Saccharomyces cerevisiae S288C: one gene and its partners. The gene in region 3 interacts genetically with the main gene of each other region. Each region holds a gene or a part of one and is shown on either strand. Other genes may lie near its edges.

What was found.
Region 1: mutations in RVS167 (region 3) and CYK3 together harm fitness more than expected from each alone (negative genetic interaction), as found in Saccharomyces cerevisiae (5 studies listed by BioGRID, with this or other methods).
Region 2: mutations in RVS167 (region 3) and VPS21 together harm fitness more than expected from each alone (negative genetic interaction), as found in Saccharomyces cerevisiae (6 studies listed by BioGRID, with this or other methods).
Region 4: mutations in RVS167 (region 3) and BBC1 together harm fitness more than expected from each alone (negative genetic interaction), as found in Saccharomyces cerevisiae (6 studies listed by BioGRID, with this or other methods).

Annotation. Positions count from the first base shown.
Region 1 is NC_001136.10:244,365-253,357, reverse strand, and holds CYK3 (Cyk3p), read right to left. Parts: upstream 4,778-8,993; coding exon 2,120-4,777; downstream 1-2,119. Other genes in the region: NUP84 (Nup84p), read right to left, coding at 1-1,792; HEM25 (Hem25p), read left to right, coding at 5,746-6,669; YFH1 (ferroxidase), read right to left, coding at 6,911-7,435; EXP1 (Exp1p), read left to right, coding at 7,776-8,225; ubiquitin-specific protease UBP1, read right to left, coding at 8,377-8,993. UniProt on the Saccharomyces cerevisiae protein: Involved in cytokinesis by recruiting INN1 to the bud neck. Cooperates with INN1 to stimulate the synthesis of the primary septum (PS) by CHS2.
Region 2 is NC_001147.6:487,166-494,100, forward strand, and holds VPS21 (Rab family GTPase VPS21), read right to left. Parts: upstream 3,664-6,935; coding exon 3,031-3,663; downstream 1-3,030. Other genes in the region: YVC1 (Yvc1p), read left to right, coding at 542-2,569; type 2C protein phosphatase PTC5, read right to left, coding at 3,958-5,676; translation machinery-associated protein TMA46, read left to right, coding at 6,268-6,935.
Region 3 is NC_001136.10:1,247,084-1,254,834, reverse strand, and holds RVS167 (amphiphysin), read right to left. Parts: upstream 4,650-7,751; coding exon 3,201-4,649; downstream 1-3,200. Other genes in the region: GTPase-activating protein SAC7, read right to left, coding at 334-2,298; CIN10 (Cin10p), read left to right, coding at 5,014-6,681; MUS81 (Mus81p), read right to left, coding at 6,853-7,751. UniProt on the Saccharomyces cerevisiae protein: Component of a cytoskeletal structure that is required for the formation of endocytic vesicles at the plasma membrane level.
Region 4 is NC_001142.9:398,437-404,184, forward strand, and holds BBC1 (Bbc1p), read right to left. Parts: upstream 3,975-5,748; coding exon 501-3,974; downstream 1-500. Other genes in the region: MPS3 (Mps3p), read left to right, coding at 4,461-5,748. UniProt on the Saccharomyces cerevisiae protein: Involved in the regulation of actin cytoskeleton.

The DNA of each region.
Region 1 (8,993 bases), 1.0 Mb from region 3:
CATATTCTCTTATGCCCTTTATCAAATGCTCATATTGAGTTATTTCTTCCAAAAACTGATCTTCATTTTCATCCTTTGATATGTTATCGGCTATTTTCTCTAATTCATAATTCTTGCATATTTCTCCAATATTATTTCTCTCCATAAATTGTTCGAGAGCCTTTACGCGGCCATTTAACAAAAATCTCCTCGATAAGGCAATGATAGAGTGGACAGCGTCCACATAAAGCTTCCCTTCAATAAGCCATTCCACGCCATATATTAAGTGCATATCAATGTTGTTTACATCGAAAGATATGGAAATTTCGTTAGATGGTGAATATTCTTGTTCGGTTTCATCGAAAACACGCTGTGTGGTTCTTCTCAAAATATTTGAGGCAGGTAATCTTAGAAAGTTTATTGTCTCAATTTGCTTTTTCCTTACTTGGGGGTCCTCTAAAGAAGACAATATGAAAGAGCATGCCTCTAAGCAGTCTGACTCATTCAGGAAAGTAGCATATATTGGAATATTTTCATAAAGGCCTTGCAATTTCAGAAGACTGATATACGTAGTAATGAGCTTGGACTTATCAACCTCTTCAACAGAACCTGGATTAATTATATCAAGGCAAATGGCTAAATGTGTAACTATCCTCAGAAGATAAGGCTTATCTATAATATCGTTACTAGCTTCGGTTCCCTTGACGACATCAAGCAACATTTCCACGGATGAATGAATAACTGATGGCAAAGAATCTAGTATGACAGATGCCATTAAAACTCTGATTGGATGTTCACTTTCTGAGGGATGCCTTGAAGCCACTCTATTAAGCACCTCTTGTACAGTTAGCGCGTGTGAAGGTAATGGTAAAATCAGTTCATCAGTACCTACTTGATTGTTTTCCAAAAGATAATTTTCAATTTCAGTTTGTAAAATTTGATTTAAGTGTATGTGCAGATCAGACTCCCAATCCGAATATTGCAGAACTTCTTGGTTGGGAATAGCGCCACTCAAATAGCTGTATATCGCCCTTTCATAAGGGTCCAAACCGGCCTGCTGCGAAAGGCTGTAAACTGTTCTTCTCCACAAAGAGTGCTTCTTGATACCTTGCTGGGTATTGAATTCGTTTGCAATTTGCGTATCAATGACAGGGTTTAAGTACTCTTGTATCCCACACAGGATCATACAAATTGAAATATTGTCGGAAAGTTTAGCTTCTTCTAATGCTTCATCAATCGCACCGGCCAAAATTAGTTCGTAAATGTATTTGAAGAAAATATGATCTTCTTCTTTATCTTTAACATCGAGGACATTAGTGTTTTCTCGTAAAGGAAAATCCAAGTCACAGCTTTTCAATCCTCCAGAAGTAATACTATTTAACCATTTTGAAGTTGGTACATTTTTGGGTCTTTCCATCACATATGTATTTTCTTTGAGCCAAACCATCACTATCCATATTTGATAAAGTTGTTTGTTGTCTTGCATTAATTTCTTTTCAAATAAACCCCTCGAGTTATAAGGATGAAGTTCCATTTCATCTAGATCAAGATCAGCGTTCCTGAAAACCAGTAACAGTTCTACTAAATGCCAAAATCTAGCTTCCAGTTCCCAATCCTTAGAAGATATGACGTTACTTTCATCTCCAGAATTAGCCAAATCTAACGCAAGCTGCCCCGCGGCTGAGCGAAACTCTCTTATGATGTTAAACGGGTCAATGGGGTTTTGCTCATTATTTTGTTCAATTTTGAATTCCTTTAAAGTGTCTGAGAACTTTGTGAAGCGTTCTGTTTGATAAGTAGGGGATAATTCCATTTGAAATGGCTATGTATTTTACTTCGAAGTAGCACTCAATTGGTTTTCAGGTTGAATTAGCTGATATACCTCGTTTTCGGACTTGCCTAAACAATTCAAATGTCGTATGTATTTGAGCATTTGGTCTAATTTTTCATATTTTCTTCACCGAAAACATCACTAAATACGAAAAAGTTGGACCAGCATAGCTTTTATGAATGCAATGGATAAATCATTAAATAATAAGTACTATATAGCCATATATGAGTTATGAAATTCACCTTCCTGAGTAGAATGTATGTTGAATGATACAGATTATAGCGCTGTAAAAAAATTTGTGAAAAACGTTTATACGCACAACCATTCAGCAAAAACGGACCACCCAATACCAGAGTCAGCGATCACTAAAGCGCTCCAGACGCCGGGCTCTTTGATTTTAATGCTTCCTTTCCAGGTACCATAAGGAAAGTGGGGATCGCTCTTGACTAGCTCATGAACTCTTCCTGAGGGTGATTTTATTGCCATTGGTTGTTTCCTATTTTGGTTCGGCCCTTCATCACTGCTGTATACAATACCATCGGAGGGACTTTGAATAACTTCGAATGAGTACTCATTACCAACAAATAGATATCTACTCTGTGGCTCGACAATGTATAGCTCAATCTTCTGAATGCTTTCTGAGGGTATCTTGATCACAAATTCGTATTTCATGTTACTTCCCTTATGTGTTAATGGGACCATCATGGACAGTGGATGGATATTGGCAATACTCGTTTGCGTACCTCTTACACCTGAATGTATGTACAGTGAACCTTTGTTCACATTGGGTGGTAGGACTGCTTTGATTAGAGCAATTCTTCTACCAGACTCGGCTTTCTGCTTTTTGATTTGGGTCAGTGCGAGTTCCATATTCCTGTACGCAGATGAAGCTTCTTCATTATCCGTTGGAATAACCACGGATGCAAAGACTTCAACGTCATTGGGAATTTCTAAGGAGCATTCGTAGATCTCAGAATCTTCCAAAAATGATAGTGCAGTACTAAATTTGTATAACTTTAACTCATTTTTGAAAAAAGATGGAAAAACTAATGGCAGATACAATGCAGATAATTGATCGATACTAGGAACAATATGCTGCTCAAATTCCCTAGGCGGTATATGTGTGTATATCATTTCTAATGGTGCCATCAAAAAGTAGCTATTTTCTGCTTTCTTGATCTTTCTGTTATTTACAAATTCATGAATTGGGTTGGTTACATTTCCTAAAATAACGTCAATAAATCTCCATTCTTTGTTAACCAGTATTCTCAACCAGCAGTGGTTATACTTAAACTCCCAATTTATAGCACTCGGTGTTTTCAGGAAACCTATAACAATTTCACAAGTGATTCCCAATGAGTTTGCTAATTTCTTGAAAAGCCATGTCAATTCATATGGCGTACAATGCTTTCTGTATAGTATTTTCTCTAAATTTTGGGGTTCCGCAGAAAAATCTGACGTTCCATTATCATCAGTCAGAGCAAACATCTCTGTGCAAAAAATGTATATGCCTCTTAACTTTTCCAGAACAGTTGAGTATCTTGCTGAAAAAGTTGTTTGAGCCCAACTGTCTAATGTCATAGTTCCGTCTCTAATACACCGTTTCCAAGTCATCTTATCAATGTATTCTATGTTTAATTCGGCCAGTTCCACATCGACCAAACCGGGCTTTGTATTACCTTTGACTTCATTGGTATTTAGCCCGTTATAAATCGAATCTTGAGGATGTAAGATCAAGTCGCGATTTTCTTCGAGAGCTCTCATATACCTCGGATGTTTGTCATATTTGGTAAGAGTCCTTGCTCTGTTCAAGTGACATTTTACCGCAATCCAATCGCGAGCTTCATCGGGTGTTGCAGACAAGTTTAAATTCTGAATATCTGGTAGTTTAGGATATGCTTTTGGTGACTTTGGTGAGGATACTGAACTGGAGTAAATATTTGTATTCCTCTTTGGAATAATTATTTTCCTAAGGATATCACCCATTTTTCCATTTCTCGAACTAGCATTGGAATCACCAAACTCCTGTGAATCATTTATCTTTGTAGAGCAGCCATTTGCATTCTGTGATCTTTGCAATGAATCGGAAAACGATTGTGCATATTTATGTCTGGCGAAACTTCCCGCGCTCGTGGCACTAAAATCACTCATTAAGGCAAAACTGTTCTCACTACTACAAGCAGAATCATTTAAGTACTGAGAGTTTGAAAACAGGCCTGATGAAATAGAGTCCTCTTCTAAAGAATATCTCTTTTCTGGGATAAACCCATCATAGAATTTCTGGTTGTCTTTGTAATAGTTATATTCTCTTGAAGAACGTGCCATATGTAAATCGTTTGCAGAATATGATTTCTTTGGTGCCCTTTTATCTGTCTTTCTCATATTGTCCAAATCTGGTAGTGGCGGTAGAGGTGGTAACGGATTGTTCATGGACTCCTCGAAATTTCGTACTTGAGGCTTACTATGGCTAGCCAAAGGTAAATTTGGAGCTGAGTTATTATGATGTCGAGAGGATTGGGTATTATAGATATTTTTTTCATTTACCATTTCTTTTGATTTTGCCTTTCTAGCCTTTGTCAAAGAATCTACCGGCTTCTTGGGTGAATTGGGCATTGATGAAGATAGCTTCTTTTTAGGCCTTGGCCTCTCGTCAGAATACCTTGATGGTACTGGTGGAATAACAACTTTATTTGATTTTTCAAAACTTTCTACTATTTTTGAAGGTTGCCTACCATTTTCAGTGCTCGAATTTAATCTCTCCTCTAATAGTATGACGAAGTTATGAGGAAAATACCCAGAACATTTTTTGTTTCTCAATAACTTGCCGTAGAACCAAGAACCGGCAATCCTTGTGACTTCCATAATATCTCCCTCCAGAAAGCCTAAGTCGCCTTTAGTTTGGCCCGACCAACCATACCTGGCCTTCACCTTAAATGGTGGCTTCAAAGATGTTAAGTTAGTGGCCATTATGCAAATTTAAATGTAATACGGTAAATTCAGGAATTAAATGTTATAATTATAACTTCGGGACTGACCTTTAATGTTTCGAACTAAAATTATATGCGGTAATTAATACGGATAAAAAGATATTATTAAAAAAAGTGGTAAAAGCAATGTATGCTTATAGCAAACAGTTAATGTGTTAAAATATTAAGGACGAAGTGAAATCAGAAGAAAGAAAAATTAGTTTAACAGCAGTAGATCAAACTGATATTATAGATATGTTATGCAAACAGAGTCCCGTTAATTTTGGCCTTTTCTCTTGTTTTAACTGTATAATATCCAATTGTAGAGAGTAAATGAAACTAAATTCTCCTTTTTCAATACTTATTTTAAATAGTTGGTCCAAGCATGCAAGATATCAAGCTTGATCTCACCATCCTTTTCAGATCAGCTCAATGGCCACCAAACCAGCCATTCGAGAATTTTTCACTTCTATCGCGCCCTGACAGGCACCACCATTAATACATATTTAGAAAAAGAAAACCCTGCAATATTCAACTAGTTACGAAATTCACCAGTCTCAAGAACAAGAGGGTACGCTGAATGGATACAAACACTAAAGGATGGTGTTTCATCAGCGAGACAATGATTTTGTAATTTCTTGCTTTTTGGGTTTTGCTGAATCTCCAACGCTTGTGGTGACTGTTTCCTTTTGAATATCTATCAGTATCTTAAATGTTAAATATGTGTCTGCGTTATTGACCTATTTCTCTTGCTATATTTAGAAGTTGTGTTTGTTTCAAATGACTTAGATTTGAGTGAACGCAAAATTGAGCTTGAAAATCTCCAAGTCAACGGTGTAGTAGTATATTGCTTCCACATTAAATTCTCACGAGGGGGTGATTGAAGTAAAAGGATAAGCTTATACCAAAAGAAAAGCAAATAGCACAGCGGGAACAACTAGAAGGTACACAATTTGTGAAGCAGCATACATGACTGAGCAAGCAACTAAGCCAAGAAATTCATCGCATTTGATCGGGGGCTTTTTCGGTGGGCTAACATCTGCTGTTGCGTTGCAACCTTTAGACCTTTTGAAGACGAGAATCCAGCAAGACAAGAAAGCTACATTATGGAAAAATTTGAAAGAGATAGACAGCCCTCTACAGCTATGGAGAGGTACATTACCTTCAGCATTACGAACATCAATAGGCAGCGCCTTATATTTATCATGTTTGAACCTTATGCGCTCATCTTTGGCAAAGAGGAGGAATGCTGTGCCTTCATTAACAAACGATTCAAACATTGTATATAACAAGAGCAGTAGCTTACCACGATTAACGATGTATGAAAATTTACTAACAGGTGCATTTGCAAGAGGTTTGGTAGGTTATATAACCATGCCTATCACCGTCATTAAAGTCCGTTATGAGTCTACTCTGTACAATTACTCCAGTTTAAAGGAGGCAATTACCCATATATATACTAAGGAAGGACTTTTTGGATTTTTCAGAGGGTTTGGAGCTACTTGTTTAAGAGACGCTCCCTATGCAGGTTTGTATGTGCTGCTATATGAAAAATCGAAACAATTACTGCCCATGGTATTACCTTCTAGGTTTATACATTACAATCCTGAGGGAGGATTTACTACTTATACCTCTACAACAGTAAATACAACAAGCGCCGTACTATCCGCCAGTTTAGCCACCACAGTAACGGCACCGTTCGACACCATAAAAACGAGAATGCAATTGGAACCATCAAAATTTACCAACTCCTTCAATACATTTACATCTATAGTTAAAAATGAAAATGTGCTGAAGTTATTTAGCGGGTTAAGCATGAGGCTGGCAAGAAAGGCCTTCAGTGCAGGTATTGCGTGGGGTATATATGAGGAGTTGGTCAAAAGATTCATGTAAAAAATAGACACATATTTCATTGCAATCTCGCATTCTTCAAAAAAGGTATAAATACGTGTCTTTTTAGTTTCTTTATAGAGTGACGTTGAAGCTTAGTAGTACGTTCATACATACATACATACACACACGGTACAAAAGAAAAATCATATCAATAACAAGGAAGAGAGACTCTAACTATGAAATAGATTGGATGCGTTACAAGTGTTTAAATAAATATAAGAGAGTCGATGGATAAGTGCACTTATTGGCTTTTAGAAATGGCCTTCTCAACTTCTTCAGTAAGTATATCTGTTAGCTTTGTGCCATTTCTTAACGAAACCCACTCCCCATTGAGAAGGTCAAATCTGTTAGGCCCGGACAATGGTGATGCCAACCAAATTTGCTTATTTGGAGGCTGTTTGTTTATTACATACGTTCCAAAAGCTGGAATTTCCAATGTCATTACGCCATGGCTTAGCTCTACATCAGGTATACAATCCGGATGAGCCTCACTCAGTTCTTCTAAGCTATCTAGTAAATGGTCTAGGTAGTCATCTGCCTCTTCATGGTATTTTTCAAGCGGTAAGTTTAACACTTCTTGAGGCACAACTTGACCATCTGTCGAGGATTCTACAAATCTCTTCTGAAAAGTATTTACAGTATGATTCTTTTTATTTGTTACAGCTGGACAAAATCTGGCACGTTCTCCTCCTGCCGCTGCTATCATATATCTTCTGCCCATTACAGAGCTGACTCGAACTAAACTTGCGAGAGACCGCTTAATCATTGCTACACTCTATCTTCTCGCTTAGTTTTTTTTGAAATACTATCTTTCTGGTATTCAGTAGTACGTAACGATTTGTAAGTGTCTTCAAGCGAGGTTGCTTTCAATTAAAAATGCGATTCAAAGAGATCATTTACGGTTACTAATCCCTCATATCCTATAGGGCTATGTGGACATTGTAAGAAACGTGACTTTTCAAATATGATCACTGAATACGGTTTTTTGAAATTTGTCAAGTGCGATGAGTTGTATCTCTAAATCAAGCACCCATGATCTACGTTTAGTAAAAGAAAAGGACGAATTCCCTTAAAGTTCTCGGTGCCTAAGTCAATAAGTCCGGAGCATGAATCTATACGGTTATTTTTTACTTCTCATTATTGTGATTGCTTTCATTGCATTGTTGCCATTGTTTTCTGGCATCGGTACATTCAAACTAACAAAACCGAAATCGTCTGCAACAGCACAGTCAGCGACTGGTAAGCTTGGTAAGAGGGAATATTTGAAAAAAAAACTTGATCATACCAATGTATTAAAGTTTGATCTGAAGGACACGGAGGAAAGCCTTGGCCATGACAGTGCAAGTGCCTCTTCCGCTTCCAGAAAATTTGAAATAGACTCAAAGACAGGCCTTAAAAGACGTGTAATTGGACAGTACAACAAAGATCCAAATGATTTCGATTTCGATATTGATGACCTAATTAACGAAGATGAACTAGATGAACGGAGAGAAGAAGAGAAAAAGTTGAAGAAGTACAATGGTAAGAAAAATGAAGCTTACGAAGGATTTGTATAATAATGGAAGTGATTTTTGCAATTGTCCTACAAAAACTTTAGACATTCGTAACTAGCTAAACAATTGATTTAACGAATAACGTAGACTTTTAATTATTCAATTTAATTATAGTTATTGTTATTTACACAATTACGGATATCGTATTTATAACTTAGTTTACATCTTTACCAGAAATATCTCTATGGTCTTCTGTTCTCTCGAACTTCATCTGCTCTTGACCTTCCTCTTGCTCTTCACCTTCTCCTTGCTCTTGGCTTTCCTTTGGCTCCTGGACTCCTTTTTGCTCCTGCTCTTTTTCATCATCTTCTTCATTATTACTCTGAATAGCTTCCAAATCATCCTTCATCTTCCCAGTTTCTTCATCAAAGTCATATTCGTAAAATAACATAAATACACCGGGTGTTGAAAGGACTTCAGCTTCGTCCACAACGTACACAGTCTCATCAGATATTCTCCACCAACAACCCCTGTATTTTCTAAATGCAATGTAATGACCATAATTATGGGTACCGTAGTGAACAATGACAGAGCGCAATGAATATGTCAATGGAGTGGCTGGAACTGTGGAAAATGACCTAGCATAATTGATAGGTGGAGCTGGTATAACATCTTCCTCATCAGATGATGTTTCTAGTTGATCTTCAACATTGATCTTTGGTTCGTCAAGGCTCACATTGTCGATTTCTTGCAGTTCTTCATTATCTTTTACATTCTCGTTTTCAACATCAGAATGTTCTATGATCCTTTTTTTGATTGTATTCCCTAAAG
Region 2 (6,935 bases), on a different chromosome or scaffold from region 3:
TAACGTTACTGAGATACAATTGTACATTTTGCCATGGAAATGAGCCAACTAGTCTAATGAGATTTTCAATGCTTTATTTCTTTTTTTAGTTTCTCATTTTATTGTTTCTCTAGTTATTAGTCCTTTGGTTATTTTTATGTCACCACCTCTTGTCACATGACCATTTTTGTTACTTGCTTGGTTTTACAATGATTTATACATTCTTGGGCCTCTCTTGACATATTTTTATCGTCATAATAAGTTCTTCATTCGTTCTCTAAAACAACAAAGTTAGACTCCATGGCCAAGTTGGTTAAGGCGTGCGACTGTTAATCGCAAGATCGTGAGTTCAACCCTCACTGGGGTCGTTAATTTTTTAATTTTTCTCCTACACTGTTGCTATGTCGGAGTTATCTCATAAGAGCTGAAAATATGTGGTAAATTTAGTCAGTATCCTTCGAGGATCAGCTAGAGCCTATTCAATGCAATTGTCATTAATCAGTGGCTTGGTAAGGCAATAGAATTCAGTTATAAAATATAATATTACTAGAACAGGAGCATTATGGTATCAGCCAACGGCGACTTGCACTTGCCAATTTCTAACGAACAGTGCATGCCGGAAAACAATGGATCTCTTGGATTTGAGGCCCCCACTCCGAGACAGATTCTCAGGGTTACGTTAAATTTGAAATACTTAATTGATAAGGTCGTACCTATTGTTTACGATCCCAATGATATTGTTTGTGACCATTCTGAGATTTTATCTCCAAAAGTTGTGAAGCTGGCTTATGAAGCATGTGGCGGGAACCCTAAAGACAAGGCCAACAAAAGAAAATATCAATCTGTCATTATTTTTTCACTTCTTAAAGTTTGTGAGTGGTATTCCATATTGGCCACTATGGAAGTGCACAATGCCAAACTTTACGAAACCAGAAATTTAGCCTCACAACAGTTATGTAAATTGTTAATTGAAAGGGAGGAGACAAGAGACCTGCAGTTTCTTTTCATGCAGTTACTGCTGCGTCGGTACGTAATCAACGAGAACGATGAAGATCAAGAACCGTTGAATGCCTTGGAACTTGCCACAGATATGCACTGTACTACAGTGATAGGATCGAGTGGATTTCAGCGTTGTTTAAAATGGATATGGAGAGGATGGATAGTCCAAAATGGCTTGGATCCCACAACTTTTATCAAGGACGATTCACTGGCGGAAGTGTCATTGATCTCTCATTTCAACCCCGTAAGATTAAAGGCGCCTGTATACCAAAATTATTTGCAGATGATCTTCTCATTTTTGTTTCTAGGGCTTTATACCTTGGTGGTTAATGGTAAGGACTCTGAGAGAGTCCAATCTTTCGATTTGTTAGAAAGCATATTTTATGTTTTCAATACTGGTTTCATCTTGGATGAGCTCACTAAGCTTTATTATATTGGTTATGCGCACCTATCGTTTTGGAATTTATTTAATGATACCACATATTTGATAATCACGTTTGCTATGGGGTTCCGTGCAATGAGCGTAACGCCCCTTAATGCAAAATACTCTTCAGAAGATTGGGATAAAATATCATATAGAGTCTTATCCTGTGCAGCACCATTTGTGTGGTCGAGACTCCTACTATACCTTGAATCACAAAGGTTTATTGGGATTATGTTGGTTATCCTAAAACATATGATGAAAGAATCCATTGTATTTTTCTTCCTTCTATTCTTAATAATGATAGGATTCACTCAAGGTTTCTTAGGTTTGGATTCCGCAGATGGTAAGAGAGATATCACCGGACCCATCCTGGGTAATTTAACAATCACCGTTTTGGGTCTTGGTAGTTTTGATGTTTTCGAAGAATTCGCTCCCCCATATGCGGCAATACTGTATTATGGTTACTATTTTATTGTTTCGGTTATCCTTTTGAATATATTAATTGCTTTGTATTCGACTGCGTACCAAAAAGTTATTGACAATGCAGATGACGAGTACATGGCTTTGATGTCACAAAAGACGTTGAGATACATTAGAGCACCTGATGAAGATGTCTATGTTTCTCCATTGAACTTAATTGAAGTGTTCATGACACCTATCTTTCGTATTCTTCCACCGAAGCGTGCTAAAGATTTGAGCTATACTGTAATGACAATAGTGTACAGCCCATTTTTGTTGCTTATTTCTGTTAAAGAAACTCGGGAGGCTAGAAGGATAAAATATAACAGGATGAAAAGGTTAAACGATGATGCCAATGAATATGATACTCCATGGGATTTGACAGATGGCTACTTGGATGATGATGACGGTTTGTTTTCTGATAACCGAAATTCTGGCATGAGAGCCACCCAGTTAAAGAATTCCCGTTCGCTAAAACTGCAAAGAACAGCAGAGCAGGAAGATGTCCATTTTAAAGTCCCTAAGAAGTGGTATAAAAACGTTAAAAAATGCAGTCCCTCCTTCGAACAGTATGATAACGATGACACTGAAGATGATGCTGGTGAAGATAAAGATGAAGTCAAAGAGCTCACTAAGAAAGTGGAAAACTTGACAGCTGTAATTACCGATCTACTCGAAAAATTAGACATAAAGGATAAGAAAGAGTAAACGACATGTGTTCAAATACTGCTTAATTAATTTCTCAGAAATCCATATATATATATATATATTGCTCCTCATTGCAACTTTGTAAATTTAATGTTCCTTTAATTTATCATTATTTACAATATTAACTAATCCATCTCCCGATTTTCGGCATAAAATAAGTTTATATTTTGGTCTACATGAAAACAAAAGTTTAACTAAACTAACGTGTACAAACCACTTTGAAACGTATATAAAGGTCTAATAAAAACGACTGGCGTTTTGAAAGATAATATAATGATCTAATGCAGTTAAAAAATTTACAAATTATAAGAAGAAAAGAAAAACAACGATTACGGTAAAAAATGAAAACTCCCTCTCCTTTCTAGGTACGATAAATTATGACTTTCATCTTTCCCGTTTTGAAGATCTATTTATCTCAATTTGCCCAGACTTTTTTTTTATATATATTTATTTTCCCCTCTCTAACAACTGCAAGCACTGTTTGCGCTGGTCCCATCATTAGCAGCGTTCAAATCCACTCTTTGATTGTTCGACTCACGTTCGTTACTTGCACTATTTTGCTCTTCAGCCGTCTTCAGTGGTATCTTTTCACCGATTCCCAAAAATACATCGTTAACATTCTCTCCTGTCTTTGCACTTGTTTCAAAGAACAACAAGCCCTTTTCTTCCGCTAGCTTTTCACCTTCTTCCCTTGCGACTTTTCTTTCCCCACCTTCTTGCAGCATATCGATCTTGTTACCAACTAACGCAATGATGATATCCTTTGATGCCTGTTCATGTAATTCCTTAACCCAGTGGCGCGCTTTAATAAAGGATTGTGGTTTTGTAACGTCGTATACTACAAGAGCAGCTTGTGCGTTTCTATAGTACATAGGTGCTAAAGATGCAAATCTCTCTTGCCCAGCAGTGTCCCATATTTCAAACTTAACAGTATGTTCATTTATAGTAACTCTTTGAGTGAGGAATGCTGCACCAATGGTGGGCTCCTTATTTTCGGCAAAATCATTAGATACAAACCTTAGGACTATTGACGATTTACCAACTGCTGCCTCACCCAACAGTACCAACTTTATGGAAGTGACTGATGTGTTCATTTTTTTGTGTGATAAAAGGGATATTTTTTTATAGCTTAGATAAGTCGACGATCTTGCTTTTTATTTTTAAAATCGTTGCCACTTTTATAAGATAAGCTGCTCGTATTTTCACCTCACTTCTCTTTCTTTGTCTTTTCGGGGATATTGTTTTAGCAAAAAGCCCCATAATGCAAACCGAGAAAACCAAAAAAAAAAAAAACACGTATGAGGTGACAAGAAACTAGATAATCAGCAGACTAATATCTATAAAATAAATCCTCTGGTATATACCTACCTCAGCATAAGTTTATATCGTCATAATCTAGGTTTTGGCTTTGTTGTTGCCTCCGGGTTCATAACTATTGAAGTAGCATTGGAGACAATTGAGGGTGTTCCAGAATCACCAAAGAACGCCACTGTTACTGTCAAGTCATCTCTGTATCTTCTACTCATCGGCGATGGTATACTTACCAATGCCGATACATATTCTTTTCTTCCGCCCGCACTTAATGCATTTCTAATTAAATGAGTGGCGACGTTTTTGTCTTCAATAAGATACTCTGGGTTTGATCCTGATGGTGAGCTCGAATTATTATCCTTGTACCTGAATGCCGGTCTTTGTGCTTCCTTGTCTTCAGATACATCGATAACTTTTGGTAATTTCCCCGGTTCTGCCTTCACAGGTGCCAGATTCATATTTTTATCCATCCACCTGATAACCAAGGAAGCAATTTCTTCATTAGTTAGTAATTCGAATAAACCATCCGAACCCATCACCATAAATTTAGTGTTCTCACCAATTTTGGCAGAAGTAATCACTGGTTCCGCAGTGACATATGGGGGTGTCTTGAAATCCCTTGGCTCTCTTCTAAAATAAAGTTTGGCAACTTCAGGCAAATCCGATAATGGTTTTCCATCGACTTCTTTGATCTTGTAGCGATAGTCTCCAAATGCCCTGGATGGTTGTAATGAACCCAATATTCTTCCGTTTCTTATAACGTTTGGTTCTCCTGGATGTTCTTTCCTAATTCTCCGTACTTCATCCAAATTATCACCGGTCTGGTCGGTGGATAGCGACTTTACCGTCCAATTGCCCTCGTTGTCCAAACCACAAATTAAAGCCCTTGAGTCTCCAGTGACAGCCACTTTCAAAATTGAGTTAGTGGAGTTGTATAAACTTAATAGTGCACAAGAACCAGAAATCGCTGGTAAAGTGTTTGCAATATTTGTGTTGTTTGGATCTTGAAACAGCTTCCTGAACGATTCGATTACAAGATCATTATCTAGTTTCAAAAAACCTTTCGAAATTGCAGAATCGATTAATTGGTTGGGGTCGGAATGGAAAACCGTTTTGTTCTGGTCATATACCTGACCTAATTGATACGCTACATAACGGACTAGATCTTTAGATAATTTTTCCGAAGTGAAAGGACCACCATGTCCATCAAAAATTCCAAAAAAATACAAATCCTTCTCTATGGACTTGCCATCCTCACTTTCTATCGGAATGGTAATGATTTGTTCTACGTGATCGTCTTCTATTGGATGGTTAGAGGGCAACTGTGCCACATCATACCTGAATATACCAGTGCCACGGTTAACAAAATGGCTTTCCTCTCTATCATGTAGTTTAGCCTCTATTTTAGAATCGTTCAAGATAAGAACAGATTGGTCATTCTGAGACCGTTGACTCTTTTGTGTCTCTGTTCCTTTTGGATTAGGTGACGGCATGTTAATGTTACCACTAGTATTTGTAGAATAATCTTTTATTCCGTTAATTGTATCAAGGGAGAGGATCTTTTTAGGGGAATAGTAGGAGTAGGTCAACAGTAGGGACCCGCTTAGTAGAGCAATGTTTAGAGCTTTAGAATGTGATGATATGAATAGCTTTGTCCTTGAATAGTATGTGCTGTTGGCATGTGATGTTGAATATGCACGTTGGAGAAACTTCTGTGTGTATTCTCTACCAGATTGACATTTAGATAGAACCTTAACCGTTTTCTTTATAGCTACGGTTCTAGTTAAGGGAGACATGGAGAGATTGAGAGAAGTAAAAGCACTTCTTCTGTTGAAAAATTTCAGTAGAGCACAAATTCAATTAAAGTAGCAATAGATGTTTCTTTTCCTGCCTATCACACGATTTCGTTTACCCTCCAATCGATCCTTTTTTTCTTTTTTGTATCTTGTGTAGAAAGAAGTGAATCCTGTTTTTCTACATAATGAAGGGCCGGTAACTGCTCATTACTGAGTTTTAAAGTAGAAAATAAAAATGTATGCAATTGGTCGCCAATACCTGATAACTAAGAATGTAACTATGCAAGGGATAAGGAAATTTAGTCAATGCTGCCCATCACACCCTGAACAGCACAAGATTGCAACCTCTGAGAGTATTTCTTAAGTTGGAGACTAGTGGAGGAAATGAATTGGCACGTAGCTCGTCGAACATGATGAACTGTGATGATAATGAAAAAATTTTTGTTCCCCAGCGATGAGTTAGTGAAAATCGACAATATATCTTTTTTTAATCAATGTGTTTTACTATTTCTAGAAAGCAAGGGAAGCCACTCTATTAGTAAACCTCTGGGCTTTACACATATAAAATCGCAGGAAAGTTATATTTCGAAGATGCCACCAAAAAAGGGAAAACAGGCCCAAGCGGCTGGTAAGAAGAAGGATAATGTCGACAAGACGTTCGGTATGAAGAACAAGAACCGTTCTACCAAAGTCCAAAAATACATCAAACAAGTGCAATCACAATCCGACCCCAAGAAAGAAGAGATGAGGTTAAAGAAACTCGAAGAAAAAAAGCGCAGAGAAGCCGAAGAAGCTGAACGAAGAGCACTATTCAACCCTGTAGCAGACCAAAGGGTTCGTGCGGGTGTAGATCCCAAGTCCATGGTTTGTGCTCTGTTCAAACTGGGGAATTGTAACAAAGGTGCCAAATGTAAGTTCTCACATGACTTGAACGTCGGTAGAAGAATGGAAAAGAAAGATTTATACCAAGATACAAGAAGTGAAAAGGAAAATGACACAATGGACAACTGGGATGAAGAAAAGCTGAGAAAAGTTATCCTGTCGAAGCACGGTAACCCAAAGACCACCACCGACAAAGTATGCAAATACTTCATCGAGGCCGTGGAAAACGGTAAATACGGTTGGTTTTGGATTTGTCCTAACGGAGGTGACAAATGTATGTACAGACACTCCCTACCAGAGGGCTTTGTGCTGAAAACCAACGAGCAAAAGAGGCTCGAGAGGGAGTCGCTCGAGAAACAGCCAAAAATTACGCTGGA
Region 3 (7,751 bases):
TTATATGAAACAGCCAGTCATATAACATAGAAATTCATTATTGAAGAGTTACAAGCTGTAACATTTCTCTGGCATATTAACAACTTAAGAATTTTTATTCTTTTATTTTATACTGATTAGCATCGCTACAGAATAATTGTCCGTAATTTGTCCTCTTCATGATTTATGTTATATATGTTCCCTTTATGGTTATAAATCTTGAAAGGGGAATGATGTTTATTTGTTATTTATACAGAAGGCAAAGAAAAAGAAAGAAAACCGCCAACAGGTTTTTAAGGGAAATAACGAAAAAAAAAAAAATGAGGAAATTAAAAGGAAAGAAAAATGGTGTTATCAAGCCCTGTTAGCAGAGCCTGAACGGCTTGTTAGTCTTTGAAACCATGATTCCCTCTTGCGTGATCTTGAATTTCTTTCATCCCCATCATCTTCGGTTAATGGTAAAGCATTACTGCGCTCATTATTGCTATGAGTGTTACTTAGTAATTCTAATTGATCAGCGGAATTATCATTACCACTGGTCAGGATCATTGAAATAGGTCTAGTGTTAAAGGACGAATTGGTACTGTTTCCACTCAACGATCTGTTCATTCGAGGAATTGGCAGATAATGCTGTTTGGGCAAAGAACCTGAGTGTACGCTAGATGGAGACTGACCGTATGGATCAACATTTTCTTCTTCATAATCATCACCTTCAGCTTCAGTAGCAGTTAAGTCGCCATTGTCTCCTGTGTCACTCAAAATTCCCGGTTTATGTAACCACGGGAATAAACTCGTTCTTCTTTTATTACTAGCAATAACATCCGGAGGAACCGGAGTAGAACCAAACGATTTTGAGTGTGGTCTTCTTTGCTTCGGAGGCTTTAACATTTTTGAAGTCTGTAGGTCTGATGAGTTCTCCGGTATCGAAGTAGATATTGGCGATAACGTCGTATGGTCTAGTTTATTGTTATTGTCAATCGCCGGTGGGTTTTTATTGGAAGAAACTATTGGTGGCGAATCCGATGAGGTGATCTTTGGTATTTCTATAGGATCAGTTTTCTGTTTATCTCCATTATTTTTCTTATTTTCGGTTGACAACCGTTCCTGTTGTTCCCTTTTAGCCAACTTCAAAAGATGGGGTAATAGCTTGTACGAGTATTCAATCAAAAATTCCACTACTAGTCGGGATAACTCGTATTCTTTGGGGTCCATATCATGTTGAGGATGCGATAATATTGAAGGTTGGAAGATGGCCGCCAAGTTTCTACCAGACATTAGGTTAAACTGTGATTGCCTTGCAAAAAGACTCAGTAAATCGAGTAGGTATATAGTTAGCTGTTTCGTGTCATTTGATAAGGTAACAAAGAGCTCTTCATATTCCTTGATAGCTGCCCTTATATCGCGGGTCAGCCTTCTCTTATGACGTATTTTTCTTCGTCTTTTTTCTTCATCATCTTTAGCGTCCTCCTTTTCGATGTCACCATCATTAGCACCATCATCATTATAGTTCTGTCTACTTGATTTTACTGTTACATTATTTGTTTTATTCGCATTCGGATGAGAAACTTCGTGGGTCAACATATGCCTTAGGATTCTTGGTCTAGATCGTAGCGGGTTTCTGAATTGTTCATATAGGGATAAAGGTATTAGTGGTTCGGCCAAATTATTAAGGTATCTCCTCAGGAGCGATGCAACATCGTGCACTGTATATGTTTCCCAATCGTTGAATTTGGTACCATAATCAGGTGGCGACGAGAATATGTATTGAAGGGCTTTTACTCTTTTACCATTGCCCGCTATACGAAATATACCCGAGGTCTCCAATCCATTTGCTTTTAAGTATGCGCCGCACTTGGCTACCACGATGGGTATCCGACCAAAACTCACCAACTCACTTTGAACAATGACCTCTGCACTGGCGACGCTCAACGATTCTGCTAAAGTAACACCGAAAACCCTACCTGTGAAACCATTTCTATTAGATAAAAACATATCTCTGTAATTTTTGAACTCTGCGTGAGGCGATGTTCCGGAATTAGCGTTGTTATTGTTATTGTTCTGTTTCGCGGATTTGGAAAAGGATTTCCTATCTTTGGTTGGGGTATTATATGAATATGGTCTTGAAGATAATGGAGGCCGTTTTAAAGTAGTTGGTTGAGCATTCCTTGAAAGAGAAGTTGGTGATCTAGGGACTGTAATATTTTCGGATGACATACTCTTAGGGTTGTTTATGAACTGCTTCCAAAAACTTGGGACATGACCTTTAGAGGGAGAAACATTTTCAATTTTGGAGCCTTGTTTAAGAGTATTATTTGGCATTATAAAGATATTTTTAGTTTATCTTAGTGGTATTGAGAGGATGAAAGTAAGACCAAAGCAGGAATCAAATTGGAAGCTCGAAAGCAAACTTGTGAAGGCTAATTTCTCTGCCCCTCTACTTTAGAAAAAAATTGCTGTGAAATGAGAACGGCTTTTTGAACACTGCAATATAACTTTCTGGAGAAAATTTGTTCTGATAACTTTGTGATGCGTGAAAGCTTAAGAGATCAAAAATATGTGGAGTTTTCAAGTCACTAGTGAATAAAACCAGTGGAATGGGTAAAAAAATTTTTTGTAACGGGCCTGCTATTCTAGGAAACCTAACGAAGACTTTATCAATTTGTTTTTCCTCTTCTGAGATCGTCCGATCAAGCCTAACAGTTTCGCGAGTAAAAAGGATGATTTCTTCTAAATTTAGTATTAAAGTAATGAATGCGTACACCCTGCTTGAAGATGTTGTGCAATGTAGCTCAGTTTCTTCCGCGCCAGGCCACTAGTCTTGCTTTTTTCCTGTTTGTCAGCACCGGTTTCCCAACTGGGCTGTGTCATCGACAAGACAGAGATGGTGTTTTATAAAAGAGAAAGGAGACTGAGGAACGTCGTTTTAGGAAGACTAGGCGAGGTGAGCGAGAAAACTGATTTCCCCATATGGTAGGCTTTGTACCATATTGGGAAGGTGGCAGCCCTATTGGGAACGCGCTCCTTCCCTTTTGGGATATTGTCAGTAGGGTAATATGCTCGCCGCATGCCCGTAATAGATAGACTCAAACGATACTTTGTTGGTGGAAGGATGAATTACCCTATATAGTATTTAAATTAAGAAACATTACAATAAAAGAAAAAGGTAATGGTAACATCTCACAATAGAAGGTAATGAATACAGAGGGATGCAGGGGCCTCCTCTAGTTCTTGTTGAGTTGCACGTAGTTCCCAGGAAACACACCTTGCTGGCCATTGTATCTTCCTGTCCACCATTCGTTCACGTCCGGAGTACGCTGGACAATTTCTATAACTGCGCCGGCAGGGAAAGACAAATCACCAGCAGCTTGAGCTTGGTAGTCATACAATGCGGTAACAGTTTCAACGCCAGGAGCTGCCGCTACGGCCGCGGCTGGTGTGCCCGCAACAGGTGATGTTAGAGGATTAGAGTAGGCCGGTGGTGGTCCCTGTTGCTGCTGTGGTGATTGTTGGAAGCCTAGCCCAGTGAGCGGTGGAGATTGCGCAGCAGCATACTGTGGATAAGTACCCGGAACAGCGCCAGCAGCAGCACCAGCAGCAGTACCAACAGCAGCAGCAGTACCAACGGCGGCAGCAGTACCATACTGGGCAGCAGGTTGAGCGGCGTAACTTGGTGCTGCGGCACCATAACCGTATCCTGTAGGGGTTGGAGAAGTGGCAGTTGCTGGATCATACCCAGCACCATATCCGACACCGCTTGATGCGCCACTGACGGGTGAGCCTTCGGCGGTTGCTACACCATACTTCCTTCTGGTCATCTCCAATTTTGCCTTAGAGTAACCGAGTTTAAAGTGTGTAATAGTCAAGGCGTCCGTTTGTTCTTCCACATTGCCTTTCTTGGCAATGTACGACTCTACAATGTCACTGTTCAAATCAAAATATGGAATCTTCATGTCTTGAAGTCTATTATACAAAGTGTAAAAAATGTTCAATTGCATGAAATAAAATGAGACAAATAATGGTTTCACAAATTCAGCTTCCAAACTGAACAGTATTGGTAATTGAGTCTTTAGCAAGTCGTTATAGTAATCATATTCTTGTTGAGCCACTTCCACTTGAGCTTGTGCTTTATACAATCTTTCTTCGTCTTTGGCGGTTGGTTCCTTCTTCTTTTCATGCTTGTTATAAGTGTTTAGATGTCTATCTAAATCTAATTTTTTGTGATTTCTCTTGGTGGCCATTTTACGAATATAAGTAATAATCTTCAACAGTTCCTGGCATGGCGTAACAATTTTTTCTTCCACCAAAGCCAGATCCGGTTTCAATGTTTCCTGTAATTCTGCGACAATTGCCCTATACTGTTCACTTGCTTCAATACCTTGTGGGTTGTCCTCTGGTATGGTAGCGTTAGGGTCACTCATTTTACCACTGATAGGTTTGAAAATTTCCTCCATGGATTTGGCAAATCCAATTTGGTGTGTCAGCATTCCATTCACCGCAGTCGAGTATCTCTTCGATTCCTCACTTAATTTTTTTGTCTCCTGCTCCAATTCTTGAAAACGACGTTCTGCATCCTCGTAAACAGGATCCTCTGTCTGCTCACCCATCTTGAACTTTTGACGGAAGGACTGAGGAGCCCTACTAACAGCCTTGGTAAACCCTTTAAAACTCATGTGCACTTATTGGCTCCTTGATTCTTGGTGTTAAATGACCAGGTGAGCCTCACTTTACTTTATTCCTTAAAACAGGTTGTTAAACATCGACACTACAAAGCCCTCTCCTTTTTTTTTTCCGGTACCAATATTATCGCAACATCCGAACATCGGTCGGATTGATAATTTAGTCAGGTAGACTACCATAGCAACTGGAAGGTATACATAACAAAATTTCCATACGAAAGGAACTTCTTGAACTATATACAACCTTATATGTGCAACTGTAGCGTGCACTTATAGTCCATGGTCAAAAAGTATCTTTTCTCAGTAGAAAACAAAAGCGTACAGGCAAGCGACAGGAAAGTCAAAACTTGATAGAGGTATGTCTACAGATGAAAGTGAAGACGTTTATTCTGATCTGTATTCCATTATCTCCCAGGTAACATCCAATACTGCCAATGACATCGAGCAACTCCCATATGCTTTAACGTTCAAAACGTCGTTAATCTTCGTTGGTGCTACCATTGGTGGGCTTTTATTCGGCTATGATACTGGTGTTATATCAGGTGTTCTGCTTTCTTTAAAGCCCGAAGATCTATCTTTGGTAGTTTTAACGGATGTTCAGAAGGAGCTGATAACTTCCAGTACAAGCGTCGGATCATTTTTTGGCTCTATTCTGGCATTTCCTTTAGCAGATAGGTATGGAAGAAGAATTACTCTCGCAATCTGCTGTTCAATTTTTATCCTAGCTGCAATTGGAATGGCTATAGCAAGAACATTGACGTTTTTGATTTGTGGGAGATTGCTGGTTGGGATCGCTGTTGGAGTGTCTGCCCAGTGCGTCCCTCTATTTCTGAGTGAAATTTCACCTTCCAGAATCAGGGGTTTTATGTTGACATTGAACATTATTGCCATCACTGGAGGTCAATTGGTTTCCTATGTGATTGCGTCCCTTATGAAAGAGATTGATAATTCATGGAGATATTTGTTCGCACTTTCTGCTATTCCAGCTATTCTGTTCCTTTCAATACTGGATTTTATCCCTGAATCGCCACGATGGTCCATTTCCAAGGGAGACATTCTATATACCAGGGATTCTCTAAGAATGCTATATCCTACTGCATCTACATATCATGTGAATAGTAAAATTAAGCAGCTGATAATTGAACTCGATAAGTTACGACTATACGAAGATGCAAGTGAACCTTTACTAGTACAGTCCCAATCGGTTATTCGATACATGGATAGTTCAACCTCAGGAACTCTTAGCCCACCTAACATTAAAAGACTTTCCTCGAACACAGAAAGAACTAGCAACACAATGTCCTCCTCATCAGCATATCTATCGGCGTTGCGAGGCCCAGCTCCAAACGGTGCCCTGGCATCTAACAAAAAGAAAAGACACAGAATGGAGCCACGCACAATAAGAGCGTTAATAGTAGGTTGCATGTTAATGTTTTTCCAGCAAATCACTGGCTTTAATGCTTTTATGTACTATGCGGCAATAATATTTTCCAAATTTAATATAAAAAACCCTCTACTGCCTCCAATTTTGATTGCCTCAACGAACTTCATATTCACTTTTTTCGCCATGTACACCATGGACTCTTTGGGAAGAAGAGCCATTCTTTTGAGAACAATTTTGATTATGACTGTTGGGTTACTTCTTTGCAGTGTAGGTTTCGGTCATGACCAAGTCAATTTACTTTTAATTTCTGTTGTAATTTATGTTGCAGCATATGCTTCTGCGATGGGCAGCGTTCCATGGACCTGTGTGGAATTTCTCCCCTTGAACAGGAGATCATTTGGGGCATCATGTATAGCCTGCACAAATTGGTTGACCAATGCATTTGTTTCAATGACATATCTGAGCACTATTAACACCATTGGTGATGAAAATACAATGCTCATTTTTGCTTTTTTCACAGTTTGTGCCTGGTTTTTCGTATATTTTTGGTATCCAGAAGTCAAAGGTTTGTCACTGGAAGAGGTTGGAAGGGTTTTTGATAATGGAATTGATGTTCATTATGTCTTTCGTACCTACCATTGATGAGTTGTCAAGTGGCATCATAATGCATTGGGGCGGCTTTCAGATATGCTTCTGGTATATTTGTCCGTGAGAAATTAAGGCTTCTTTTCTTATATATGTATATATTAGTTAAAAGAATATCATCACTTTTTTCTTTATAAAACCTTGCAGGGATGACTATATTTCAAATTGCTAAAGTTTACCAAAAGCATCATATATCTTTTCTGAAAGAGATTTAGTAATTTTCTTCGCACCAGGTGCATCTCCCAGTACATTAAACATCAACAATTTAGCCTCTTCTTCCGAGGAGCACGTTTTATATGCCATTAGTATTTTATTCAGGGTAGGAAATATTTCTTGGATGGCTACTGCTTTTTCTAAAGATATACCTTTAACAAGCATTAAAACATGTATAGTTAGCTCACCAACCGTCTTTAGATCGCCTTTTCCCATTAGTTCTTGAAAGCATTCAAGATTATGACAGCATTCAATACCGCCTTTTCGTTCGAATTCTCGACGAAACTGTAGAAGCACCTTTTTATAATCGTCCTTGCTTTTAAGGTCACTTGGAAATATAACTATGAGATCTTTTTGAGAATAGTGATGAGAAATTACAGTATGCAACGCATGTATCTTTTCCACAGTTTCATCCGAATTGCAAGTTCTTATCATGGAGAATTTGTAATACACTAAAATGACCCAAAGCGCGGTCTTTAGGGCCTCATTCATATTTCCAATGTTGCCACTCATAGTCTCCTCAATGAGATAGTATTTGTGTTCACAGCCAGATTTCTCTAACCTATTTTTTTGCTCCATAAACCTGTTATCCCTTATACTTAAAGCTAAATCGTCTAGCCTTTTTCTTTCAACTATGGTGTTGAGCACACACTGCAACCCGGTATTTTTATTCTTGGCAACCCATATAATATCACCCAAAGCGAGTTGCCTTATCTCTGACTTCATACCTTTTCTTTCAAATGCCCTTGAAAAAAACTCACGATCAGATTGTGACTTTATTTCTCTGTGATCAATAATTGGGAAAACTTCGAAATCACCACTACACCACAATTCGTAACTTACTCCGTTGTACC
Region 4 (5,748 bases), on a different chromosome or scaffold from region 3:
CTTCATCTGCCATCGCCTTTCTATGTTTTCCGTATTTCTTCCCCGCAAGTTCTTTAAACTCAGATAGTATTAGAATCGATAATTAAGGCCAGGTCAAAGTTCGTATTAATTTCAACCTTTGGGCACCTATATTGGATTAATTTCCGTAAGATAATATATGAGAGCACTATCATGGAGTGATGAAGAAAAATTCAAACTCTAGGGGCAAACCGTTTGTTACGATTGCTCAAAAATTACTGCGTCTGAAGCCAGAATTGTAGGTATATACGAAAAGGTACAACTTGGGATACTATTGACGGCGGTAAGATAAGTGAATCCTACCTTTCGTTTTGAGCCGCTCAAATAAGACCTGATACAAAAACGGTTGTTTAATCTTTGTATAGTTTCTTCTGTAGAAGAGTTATGAAAATATACACTTAAACTATAACGATAAGAAAATGCGAAAGGAAAATGATGAAATCGAAAGCATTCACAATTTCCCCTTGGAAGCATTGGGTAAATTACCAACCTACGTATCCTCTCGCAACAATTCTGAAAACCTTTAACTTCCCACTTTTCATATGGCTTAGCTTGTAGCTGTTTTGAATAATCTTTCCCTCGTGATTTTCGATAACTCTAAACTTATTCTTTGTAAAATCATAATCAGTAACAACACTCGAATACGGAGCGGCGGAGTCCATTCCAACGTTGATAATTTCGTTTTTTCCGATCTTTTTATGAGCTTCAAATTTGGCCTTTCTAATTACAAGAATGTCACCTGGTTTAATCTTCTGTAAGCTCTTCATCAACTGTTCGATTCCTTCTTCAGGTTTATAACTCAATATAGTTGCGCCAAACGTTCTTGCTCCTATGGGTTGTATAACTTCGTCTTTGAATTCGGATACAATTTGTGACACGAAATTCTTAGCCCCAATATGTGAATTTATCAATGAATGAGATTTCTCTACAACTTTCGCATTAAACCTTTGAGCGTATTCATCAAGAATACGTGCTGATTGTGTTTCGACTGGCGATGGAAAGCGTTCTTGAAGAGTCGTTACCGTTTTCTCTGGGCTTGTACTATTAAAGGTCAAGGAGAATCTTAGTTGCGAATAGTTTTCAAACAAGAAGTAAAAATCCCTTACCACCCATTTTTGATGTAATCTTTTGGAAATGAAATGATCATCGATCTCCATCAAAAAGTTCAACTTCAGATTGCTTATAGCAGGAGGTGCGCTTTTATTAATCCACCATCTTTCTTGTGCATTAAACTCTATCTTGACGTTGTTGGAAATCTCGCCTACATCATGCGTCGTTGACCTTCTTATAGAGGCCACCTTCGGTGTAGTATCTGACTCATGGAATGAATCCACAGGACGATTCGTCAATGAAGGCACATGGGGCGGTAGGGTTCGTGATTCTTTTTCTGCCCCAGATAGTACTGAGGTTGGCACACGTTGTTGCGTACTCATCATTGAAGGTGTAGAGGCCGTGACATTTTGATGTGGTGGAGGAGAAGGAGCTGTATGTGAATGAGTGGCTGTTGGTTCAGAGTCAAATTCAAAAGTAGCCGGTGGTACTGGTGGTGCACGTGGAAGTGGCGGAGCAGTATTTGGCATAGGATGATATTCCTCGGATACAGGTGGAAGGGGAGCAGATGACTTGACATGTTCTTCTACTTCATTGTGTTTAGGCAGCGCAAGAGGCGCTGGAGGTGCTGGAGGTGCTGGAGGTGTTGGAGGTACTGGAGGTATTGAAGGTGCTGAGAGTGCTGGAGGTGCTGAAGATACTGGAGGTACTGGGGGTACTGGGGGTACTGAAGGTGCAGAGAGTGCTGGAGGTGCTGGAGGTACTGGAGGTGCAGAGGGTACTGAAGGTGCAGAGGGTACTGGAGGTGCAGAGGGTGCAGAAGGCACTGGGTGAGGTGGCACCTTGTCCTCAGGATGTGACACCTTACTTAGAACTGGAGCTGCTGGAGCTGCCATCGAAATATCTTGAGCGGTTTCTGTTAATGCAGATGAATTAGTGGAAACTGTATCATGATACTCGTTTATGGATTTCCGCCGATTTTCCCCTGAAATGGATTTAGTCAAAGAATTTATCGACCCGTTGCGAGCAACTCTTGTTTGTGGGGAAGAGACAGGCAAAACATTTCCAGTTGTGTTTTGTGATGAATTTTCAATATCATGTGATACTTCTGCAGTACGGTGGGAGATTGGTGGTTCTTGAGGGTAAATTTTTTCTCCGGAATTAACATTCTCTGACTCATTATTACCTATCTGAAAAGCTTGCTCCACCATCGAATGCTTTCTCAACCCATCGTTTGCATCCTCAAACTCGTGGTCGTCAGTATCTTCATCAGAATCATGGTCAGAGTATTCGGGATGTGCATTATCAACAGCAGCTAAATTGTGATAGGCGTGTGTACCATGTTCTTGCTTCTGTTCATGCTCTGTGGTTGCATGAGGATCTAGCGTCTTTGTTTCAGTGGGTTGATTCTTCTCACTTAGATTTGATTTCCTAAAAAATGGGTTAGAACTTGGGTCAACAAATGGCATAACAGGTATGGCACGAGGTAGTTCTTGGAGCTGTTCAGGTTCCTCCTCCTCCTTCTCCTTATGCTGTTTCTTTTTCGGCTCTTCTGATGGTTTATTTCCAACTCCAGAAGCCATACCGAAGGGGTTAAAACCAACAGGAGCACCGAATCTACTAGCGCCAGATAGTTTAGCCATTCTTTCTCTCAATGCGGCCCTACGATTCTCTTCACTATCTTCCTCTTCTTTTTCCTCATCATTATCTCCCTCTCTGTCTTCATGGCCGTAACCTATTTCGCTTTCCTCAGCAACATTTTCTCCTCTTGCCTCGTCTGCTTGTGACTCCTCAACTTTCTGATTTTCCTTTGTGTACTCATCTAAAAATTGTTCTTTCTCTATGTCATTCGTGCCTTCATCTGCTTCGCGTGAGGTTTTAGTAATCTCTTTATGTGCCAATAATTCCATTTGCGGTTCCTCGTTGTGCTCAGTTTCAGGCGTAAATTCAGGTTTCGGTTCAGTTTTTTCATTTTCTTCTGCTTCTTCAGTTTCCGTATAGGGCTCATTCTTGTTAACCGCACTACGTTCATGTTCTTGTTCGAGCTTAGCCTTTTTTCTCAAGAGTTCTTCTTCTCTTGCAGCCTGTAATCTTTGTTGCTCCTGTAAAAGAGCAATTCTTTCTTTAAGGCTCATCTGGGGCAAATCCTTCTTTAATTGGTCATTCTCAGTTTCTATTCTTCCACTTTCCACCTGTGCACGATTAATTGGTTCGGGAACAATCTTTTTTTCGTTTTCCTTTAGGGACTTTTTCCTTTCAAGATTGGACGTATCATTTGTTGGAATTCCAGGGGGGACATAGTATTTAGGAGCATCTGCCACAATTGTTTTTTTCACAGGTATGTTTTCTAAATCCAAGTGAGTTGATTTTGGTAAAGGAACTTGCTCCGTTATATCTTGATTAAACATAGATAAGCGAGCCTTCAATTTTGGAGAATCCATGGGAACTTTTCTTTCGCCATTACCACTACTACTATCATGCTGGACCTGTGCTGATACTGCTGTAGCGGCTGGAACTGGCACTGTAGCGGCTGGAACTGGCACTGTAGCGGCTGGAACTGGCACTGGCCCGGACAGAGTTTCTTTCTTCGTTTCAGGGGAAATGGGCTCTGGTAGGTCCTTTTGTTCTACTTCCGGCTGGATTGTACGTTGCTCAGTGGAACCGGTATTCGGAGATGATTCGGCTTCCTTTCCAACTTCAGATCCCTGAACAGCAACAAAACTTTTCGGGAAGATACCCTCAATAACGTCGCCATTTGAATCCTGGTATTCACCAAAGTACCATTCGGCGTCTTCAACAGACGTAACAATAATCTCTTGATCTTTTTCAAAATTTAAATCGTCCTCGTAATCGGACTTGTATGGGAACTGAGCCACCACCTTGAAGGGCACTTCGGGTTCACTCATCCTTAGTTTGGGTAAGACTGTGTTTACTTCTAGTAGCTCTTGCAGTTGGGACGCGATTGATGTTTACTACCGACTTGACGCTACTGTTTCACAGTGTGCTAGTAAATACCACTTCTAGTTGAAGTCTTAAGGAGATTATAATTCTGGAGGTAAAATAGGGGCATTGTAGACCTCTAACTATTTTCAGGGTATATTCCTATATTATATAGGTTTATTCTTAAAATATGAGGTTTATAAATGATACACATCACTTATTGATAGGGTTATACTCTTTGATACGGGTAACATATGAGACGCGAAAATGGAATATAATGACAATGTAAATATCGTCATCTTGAGATAATTATCAACAAGGTTGTCATGAGGAGTTACAGATAAAAGTCAACAGAGTGGAGTTAGTGGTGTTTTAACTGTAGTGCTCCATAGTTTCACGGCGGTTTCTCTTGTTTTCAGTTGGTAGTAACTTTTATCCTGGAAGTGCTGGAAATGAATAACTCAAATGAGCATAGGCGGGAAGAGGCAGGAGCGGCTAATGAACAAATGCCTTACAATAAGGCTGTAAAGTCCGCGTATGCAGATGTCCTCAAGGACAAAATGAATAGGGAACAGGAGATTAGCCTACGAGCCATCAAAAAAGGGATATACACCGATGGCGGTGAAACTGACAACTATGATATGGATAAAGAGAATGATTCCGCGTACGAAATGTTCAAAAAAAATCTTGATTTTCCGTTAGACCAACATAATGATGACGACGATGATGATCCGTACATTGAGGATAATGGACAAGAGACCGACGGATATAGCGACGAGGACTATACAGATGAGGCAGACAAGAGTTTTATAGAAGACAGCGATTCCGACAGCTACGATTTGGAAAGTAATTCTGACTTTGAAGAGAACTTGGAAAGTTCAGGTGAAGCTAAGAAGTTGAAGTGGCGGACGTACATTTTCTATGGAGGCCTTTTCTTCGTTTTTTATTTTTTTGGATCTTTTTTGATGACAACCGTGAAAAATAATGATTTAGAAAGCCATTCATCCGGCGCTACATCCTCTCCAGGCAAATCATTCAGCAACCTACAAAAACAGGTGAATCATTTATATAGTGAGTTGAGTAAGCGGGACGAAAAGCACAGTTCAGAATTGGATAAAACAGTAAAAATCATTGTCTCTCAATTTGAAAAGAATATTAAAAGACTTTTACCCTCAAATTTGGTTAATTTTGAAAATGACATTAACTCGCTGACAAAACAGGTTGAGACAATTTCAACTTCCATGAGTGAGTTACAGAGGCGAAATCACAAATTTACGGTCGAGAATGTTACTCAATGGCAAGATCAACTGGTAAAACAGTTGGATACACACCTCCCTCAAGAAATACCCGTTGTAATTAATAATTCTTCGTCGCTTTTAATAATCCCTGAATTGCACAATTATTTGAGTGCTTTGATTTCAGACGTTATTGAGTCTCCAGGCATTGGTACTGCTGGAAGCGCTGAAAGTCGTTGGGAGTATGATTTGAATCGCTATGTAAAGGAAATTCTTTCGAATGAGTTGCAATATATCGATAAGGATTATTTCATCCAAGAAATGAACAGAAGGTTGCAATCTAACAAACAGGAGATTTGGGAAGAGATCACAAATAGGTTAGAGACACAGCAGCAGCAGCAGCAGCAGCAGGTTCAACAGGATTATTCTAACGTGCCACAGCAGTATTCGAGCATATTAATGAAAAGATTAATTCACCAAATTTACAATTCCAATCAACACCAAT